Linked DNA regions of Schizosaccharomyces pombe. The protein of the gene in region 2 binds, or shares a complex with, the protein of the main gene of each other region. Each region holds a gene or a part of one and is shown on either strand. Other genes may lie near its edges.

What was found. Proteins that work in one complex are often made in the same cells at the same time.
Region 1: usp102 (region 2) and usp101 share a complex: the UniProt entries of both Schizosaccharomyces pombe proteins name them as parts of the spliceosome.

Annotation. Positions count from the first base shown.
Region 1 is NC_003424.3:2,460,651-2,464,011, forward strand, and holds usp101 (U1 snRNP-associated protein Usp101), read right to left. Parts: upstream 1,533-3,361; 5' UTR 1,485-1,532; coding exon 699-1,484; 3' UTR 501-698; downstream 1-500. Other genes in the region: pth2 (aminoacyl-tRNA hydrolase), read right to left, coding at 1-307; mRNA-decapping complex catalytic subunit Dcp2, read right to left, coding at 2,076-3,361. UniProt on the Schizosaccharomyces pombe protein: Involved in nuclear mRNA splicing. Essential for growth.
Region 2 is NC_003423.3:3,422,722-3,427,440, forward strand, and holds usp102 (U1 snRNP-associated protein Usp102), read right to left. Parts: upstream 1,759-4,719; 5' UTR 1,511-1,758; coding exon 1,390-1,510; exon of another isoform or gene 1,337-1,389; coding exon 1,067-1,336; exon of another isoform or gene 1,010-1,066; coding exon 651-1,009; 3' UTR 501-650; downstream 1-500. Other genes in the region: ESCRT II complex subunit Vps25, read left to right, coding at 1-36, 92-240, 285-473. UniProt on the Schizosaccharomyces pombe protein: Involved in nuclear mRNA splicing.

The DNA of each region.
Region 1 (3,361 bases), on a different chromosome or scaffold from region 2:
TGCCTAAATCCGTCCTAACGACCAATACCATTTTAGTTTGTCCTTCCGCCAATGCAAGCGCAGCCAAACTGCTGTTTCCTTTCAGCATATCTAAAAGTTCAGTTTCGGACTCGCTGTCTTCATCATTGCTAACAGAAACAGGACTTTCTTTTTCTGGGTTAGATGCTTTGTTGGCATTTTTGGAACTATAACCTCTTGATGCATCTGCTACACTGTATTTGCGTCCGATCATAAACCCCACTACAGCGCCGACAAGTACTGCTGCAGGAAAGGAGGAGATCATGAAATTTACGAAAGGTACTTTCATAACTACTATGAAATTATAATGTCAAAATAATTATGTGTGCGAAACTTAAGAGCTAAGAAACATAATATATACCGGCAACATCATTAAATTGATGTAGTGAAGCGCAACATACTCCTCTCAAAACTATTAATTTGTTTCACAAAATTAATAATGATGCATTCAGAGAAATTAATATTAAATTTCATTAAAAGAACGAAGAAGGATATCTCATATATGTGTTTGAAAAGTTTGACTGACCAGAAGCCAACTCATGGTACTTATTTAAATTTAGGCGTCTCCAATCTTCTATGCGCTTCTCCATTTTAACATGATAACTCGAAGAAAGAATGAGTAATCAAGAGTATACAAAAAATTATGTTTAGCGTTAACATTGAAGTGAGACTTTCTAACATCAATTGTAGCGACGACGCTTAGGGGAACTATCTCTTCCTCCATAGTCTGAAGAGTGAGAGGAGCGAGTAGGACCACGACCAAATCTTGACCCTCCTCCAGAAGATTTTCGAAATCCTCCTCGATAGCCACCACGAAATCCAGAGTCGCCACGAAATCGGGATCCCCGTTCCCGTCGCGGCCTTTCTTTTGTATAATGTCGCCCGCCAAGTCCACCACCTAACTTACGCGGTAGCCATCCTTTTACAGTTCTACCTCTTTCGACATCGACCACTATCCGCCTTCCATTTAGCATCAAACCAGCTGATGCTTTGTAAGCAACTTTTAAATCTCGTTCCCTTTCAAACACAACAAATGCATATCCCATTGATTTTCCTGTAACTTTATTACGAACAACTCGTATGCGCTCGATAGGCCCATATCGAGTAAATTCTCGTTCAATATCGCTTTCCTTGGTATCATAGCTTAACCGAGAAAGAAACATAGTTTTATATGGATCTCCAATGACATGGCGATCGTGATCAGGATCCCATACCTTAATCATGGACCGTAATCTTTCTCGTTGCTGTTTTTGTTTCTCGTCTCTAAGACGCAAACGCTTTTCTTCCAAGCTTTCAGTCGGGTGATATTGTTGATCGTGAGACTGCGCATATTTCAGATATTTTGCTATGCCTGAAACGCGAGGTGTTGAACGTTTCTCAGGAGGCACATCCATAGGAGGCAGATACCTCAATGGGGGACGTGGAGCAAACAATGCAAGTAGAGGAGCCGGTAATTTTTCAGCCATTCTATATGAATTGTTTTTTTTTATTTAGAAGTGTGTGGGTGCAATGCTGTGTAGGGTATATCCCAGTAAAGCGATATTGCCTGTATAATAAGTGCTATGTGGGGGCGTACAGTACAATTTTTTCGCTTATTATTAAAATATGTAAGCAAATTATATAGTCATATTTATTTGACATAAAAGGGAAGCAAATATGTATTTACCCTATGAATAAACCTAGTACACGCATGGGCTGCATCAAAAGGAAACCTCATAATTTTAAAGGACGAAAAGCCTCACCAGCTAATAAAAGTTAGGGAAATCCTTATTTCAACGTTGAATTCATGCATGATTAAAACGACAACAACAGAACATTGAGTAGACCGTTATTCTCAACAAAAAGTGATAGAAAAAAATGAAAAGAGCCACTAGATTAACTCAGTGTTCAACATTAACATCTAAGTCTCATTTAAAGTCAGTAGTCTTGATATTCATTAACAATTTGAATGTAAAACGAAAAATAAACATTAAAGGAATAACTTTAGAAGAGAATACCATATGTGTATTACACAGTCGTTCATTAGTTTCTAATGCAATGCCAATTAGAATAACAAATTAATGAAGACCATTGGAGTTAGAAGACACGACAGATTGTAAATATGACAGAAAATGATCATCAGACCCTTTGAAATCGGATTCCTGGGTATCTTCCTTTTTTTGATCTGCCAAAGGCGAACGTTTTAAAATCTTAACGAAACCAGGACTCATATCAACATGGTTTTTGTTGGTTTCCGAATTCTCCTTCTTCTTTCTATTTTTCAATTTTGATTGCGATAATTCGTTTCGTTTAGGAGGAACCTCAGACTTTTGTTGCGGAGATACTTTTAGTAAATCAAACTGATTAGCGGCTTCTAGTGGCTCATCATTTCTGGGAATACGAAGTGTCTTCTTTAACAAATCAGTGCTTTTGCTGTAGTTTTTGACCTCCAACTCCTTTACCTGACTGGAAGCTTTGCGTTCGTTATTCTGTGATTTATTTTGCAAATCGTTTGCAGGAGTAGGCAATCCAGATTTAAGAAGTGTAAGTAAACTTAACGAATCAGATGTCTTTTTCGGTGTTTCCTCTTTTGTTTCGGTTGCGGATGGATGTAAGAGAGCTTGAAGTAATTGTGCGGAGTGTACAGAATTGGCGTTAGGATTATTACAACTTTCACCATGCAAATTATCTGATATTTCCTCTCCTTGACTATTGTCAGAAAATTTCTTTGTCTCTAATGAATTAGGCGTCAAAAAAAGATTCGCTAATTGAACATTTGCCTCTTTGCTTAACGTAGAAGATGAGGGTGTCGTATCCTGCTGAGAGAGCATACTTAATAACCTTTTTGAATTTGAGTCTCCTTCCGAATTATATGATTGACCTGAGTTATCGGAATTTCGAGCTAAAAACTGAGTCTGAGATTGAAAAGGAGGAAGAGAAGAAATTTGTTGAGTCTGATGACCATTTACATAGGGAGAAGAAGATCCGTATGCTGGTTGCGGAGTTTTGCCTAAACCATAGGAACTAACGGAAGTCGAAGTGGGAGGATAAAAAACTTGATGATAAACAGTACTTGGCGAGGGCAATTCCATTGGAGAAGGCATGTCGCTAGCGGCAAATAAATGCTGAACAGAATTTTGGTCTTTAAGTAAATTTGAATACATACTCTGCTGAAAGTGATTATTCAACACAGGTTTATTAGTTAACATGTTGTTTTGAGAAACAACTCTTGGAAAAGAAGCAGATGGATTTTTTGGATCCAATCCAAGGTAAGCAAAAGGATCGAAACTGTTATTATCATGCGATAAACGAGAATTGCTGCTTTGAATGGGGGGATTAAGAGGAAGGTTCGACACAGGAGGAA
Region 2 (4,719 bases):
TAGAAAGTTCTTTGCTTCATAACAGTACAATTCATAGTAAGAAAACTCTTTGTATTACTCCTTAGTGCTAACTTTCTTTCTTACCAAATAGGAACGCTGCCTCTTTCGGTGTTTCGAGAAATAGTAGAGGATATGGTGAAACAAAACCTAGCAGAATGGACTGAAAAGCGAAATCCTAAAGACGTGTTTTGGGTATACTGGAGGTCTATATCTGAATGGGGGAATATGATCTTGAAATGGGTAAGCCATTTTCTGCATAGTCGAAAGTACTAATTGTTTTACAGCTATCCGATATGGGACGAGAAGGGTCTATATGTACATTTTACGAACTTCAAGAACAATATAAAGAGGTAGATTGTTTAGACGAAGTACTCCTCCATAAAGTTCTTGAGCTACTAATGAAAAAAGGAAATATCGAATTAATGAAAGGATCGTCTGGAAAATATAGCGGGTTCAAGGTACTGAAAGCTTAACATAATTACATGCTTGATATACATAATTTTGGGCCTGCAAAATTGCATTATATAATTTATATACACAAATGATCAATTATGAAAATGATAGGAGCTTTATATATTTCGAAAGGTGACTTTTGGATGATTATTGCAACAAAAATTTGAAAGAGGGAATTAAAATAGTTGCAGAATCAACTACGAGGCCTTCCGAGCGAATGTTACCTTTATTTGATTTCCACTGAGGGACATACCTGTTGTCCCATTTTTTGCGACCGTTGCTTCTCTATCAGAATCGTATTCAACAAATGCAATTCCTCTTCTACCGGGAACCATACGTACTTCTTGAAATCCAGAAAACGCTTCGAAAATTTGTGTAAGGACGTCTGCGTTTACTTCTTGAGGGATATTTTGTAACAGAAGTACCTTATTAGGAGGCAACAAATCTTCATTAATTGTCGATTTACGCTCAGCTCCAACATTACGTTTAGGAACCGGCTTTTTATGAGTGGGTTTGGGAGCTGCGGGTTGAAGAGCGCTAGTCCGTTTAAGCATTTCTATAATATAAGGTTAGTAAAGTGAGGTCTTTGATTTTAGAATAAAAAAGATTATACCTCTCCTATTTTTCCTATCTTTTTTCCTAGTTTCTATTTCTTCAGGAGATTCTCTTTGTACGATAATATCGCTTTTAGATTTACTGTACTGTATCATCATGGGCTTTCCATACAAAGGGTATCCTTGTAAATCCTTTAACGCTCGTGACGCGTTCTCCAAGTTGTCGAATACTACAAATGCTTGACCGCGCATTCGCAAAGTCTTTCTTGCTTGAACATCTATGACTTTACCATAAGACCCAAAGAGATGTTCTAAAATTCGTTTCAACACTACGATTGTTAGAAATTAAATTAAATTAAAACAATTTAAATTAGTGGCATACTAGTAAGACGAATTTTTTCTTCAATGTTGCGTATGTAGAGAGTCTCTGACGGTGTTTGAGAGTCTGTCTCTTTAGGAGATGGTTGTTGAACCTCTTGATGCGAATTTGTTTGAGGATCCATTGGATGTTAAATATAAAAAGATATTCACAGTGAATTTCGGCACTAATGTTATGATGAATCAAAAAACACGAGTATTTAAAAATTGGAAGACAATCCAGCTTATGGCATTAAATTCCAGCTAATTACCAAAAGAAGTAGTCTTTCAGGTACCACCTTGTTTTAGTAAATATGGCTCGTAATGGTTGACTTTACATTCAATTTCAAAATGTAAATTATAGCCAGCATTAATATTTCGTTGGATGTATTCTAAAAGCGCTTGTTTTCAAAATACAGTACTCTAATGTACCAAATATCAAATGGAGAGAAACACTCCTTATCCAAGTTAAAGATCGCGAAAGGAAGAACTTCAATAAATGGACGTAGTTTTAACACGATAACGCATCGCTATGTTTGACCATGTTGTTGCTCATTAATCTTGTTTTCAGTTGCAGAAAAAGTTACGAATGCTTGAATAGTGAATACGATAATCTGTACAATAATTCAGTTTGCCTTGTATTTTGTTACAATATGGTACAAATCCTTATATAATTTACGAGATACCTAGGTAAAAGAACCGAGTTTATGCGTTAATGATTTACCGTGCAGACAAATTTTGAACGCGCAAACAAAAGAATAAAAATTTTATAAACAACAATTGATTTAGTTACTGAAAGAGAGCGTTTACCCAAAGTAAAGAAAATGATATAAATATTGTTATTTGTAAACTGTGGATAATATGGGAATCGATGGTGTACTGGACGCGCAAATAACGAATTTTACGAGCCGTCCTATTAAGAAATACAACAGCCGAGAACAGAAGAGCAGTCACAAACCATTTTTTATTCCACAATATTAGATTGTATTAACACAAATAAAATTTTTTTTTCAAGGCATTCTCTACAATATCGAAGACATTCAACGTATAAAGGTTAGTCTTGATTCAAATACTTACCCTTGTAATTTCAATTTAATGTTAGACAAAGTTATTGCCCCAACGTCTCTGGAAAACGCGGATGCAAATTGTGGAGGAGGCAGAACTGGAAAAAGTATCAGCCAATCATCAACATGTCTGAAAAAAAATTCCAAGATATTTCTAAGCCTAGCTCGTAAAAACGGGTGACAAGACATGTATGGCGCTATCGAAGTACGAAAATAGAAAATTGCCAGACGATATTAGAGTAAAAGACACAAAAAGAATTTCATTTATTCACCCTATTATAATTTTTCAGCTTTCATCAATGTATGCGTACTAACTAAAAAAATTATCGGTGGTCATTTAAAAACAACAAAACCATCCAGCATTCATCACATGTCTTTCATCCAATCAAATGTAGTTATAGCTATTATCGTCCAATAGATTGCAGAGGCGGGATCAAAATCCCCTTAGGCAAAATTGGTAGGCTTCTCCACAGTTTTTCTCAGACTTGGGAAGAATGGAGCGGGGTAGGGAAATATAGCAAGACCCTGTCTTACAATGATTGGGCAAAAGCTTCACATATATGGGAGCAATATATGTACAATAGGCGCTTTTCACGGACATAGCAAACCTTGTTAGTAATGAGTTGGGCGTATTTAAGGAGGTCCCAAGGCCTCAAAAGTCGTTTACCAAGTTCATAACTTTTTAGGGACTACGTTAGTTAGCGATGAATTAGTGATGATTTAGTGTGCAGCGTTTACATTTTCTTAACACAGACAATTGCAGTACGGGTTACAGCTCCATATTTCTTCTATAGTCCGAATGAAGTATGGGCGTACACGTAATCAAGGGATAGAAGTATCCTTTTACACCGAACTGTTCAAGAGCGAATATATCGCTTGAGAATTCTGTTTTTTTTTGAAAAGGTTCATTGTCCATCCATATTTACCTTCTTGTTAGGGAGTCTCGCTAGGATGGTTGGTGTCGCGGTCGATGTATGGTCTCCAGGTTGGGGGCCCCTAGCTATCCTGACTTGGATAGGACAGAGATAAGATACACGTTGCGTGACGTTTTCTTAAAAAAAAAGAGCACGGCTATGCTCTATTCATGTTACTAGTTAATACTAGAGGAACTCCGCATTTAGGTTAGTTCCGTTATGGACTCGAATATGTGGAGCTCGAGAATGCAAGCAATCGAAATTTGAAGGATTATGGTTCCGTAACGTTAATTGTTCTATTGCCAGCTTTGAGATAGTCATGCAGCGATGAGAGTATGCTGTGTTTTAAACTTTGATATTTGCTGGTTCCAATACGTATGGCCACCATTGGTATTATTTTTTCGCCTTGCGAATTAATTTTACTGCAGACACTTTACTTCTTTTGCCTCAGGAAACGTTTTTTTGTGTTCAATCTTGATTTAACGATATGAGGAGTATAGAAATATACTTGGTTTTTTCGGTTACTTTGCTAAAATTATTGACGTTGGAATACACTCTGTATTTGCTAGCAGTCCGAACTTGCAGCCTCGGTCGCCAAAGTATTTAAATTTACTTTACTTTTGAGAATTATTCCTACATCACATTTATTGAAAGTCGTTTTTTCATCCTGTTATCGGCTTTCTACCTCACTAATAGTGTCTTTCCCCAGTATATGCATCAGTTTCATTACGTACAGTGTATCATTTTACGATTGAATTTTTTTTTTTGCTATGGAGAATTAATGATATCGTGACATTTTTACCTCGTTCTTGACTTTCAACGAGCTGTTGATCCTCGTCATACACGTCGTTTAAATTCTATTCCACATCTTATTCGTTCTTATTTGTGTGTGACTGCGTTTTTTTAAGTCGGCGTCCAATGATACAAGAGTTTGCTAACTACCTTGTTGCCCTTGTAATATTGTGACGTATAACCAAAAACTCTCCGGCGATCCTGTCTAAAATTTCACTGAAAGCAAAGGACTTTTGATACTTTTGTCGGGGTTTCTCTTCCCGAATTTAGTATAAAAGCTGCCCTCTTGACTGTTAAAATCTTTACCTAGACCTATTCTTGCTTTTTAAGTGCAAGAGCAACTTTAGTCTTCATTTACCTAAAAATCCTTTCTTTTTTTGGTTAAACAAGAACGAAATCCAAAGAAAGCTCAATAAAAGCATTGTGCTTTCCTTGGTTACCCTTTCTTTATACCGATTTTGAAAATACAAGCTCTCTGTGCTTGAAAATCATAATCTAGATTAATTTTTCTTTTAATTTTTATTTATTGAGAATCTCTTGTCAAGATCTCTAACTCATAAACTGTCTGTTCTTTGTTCTATCATT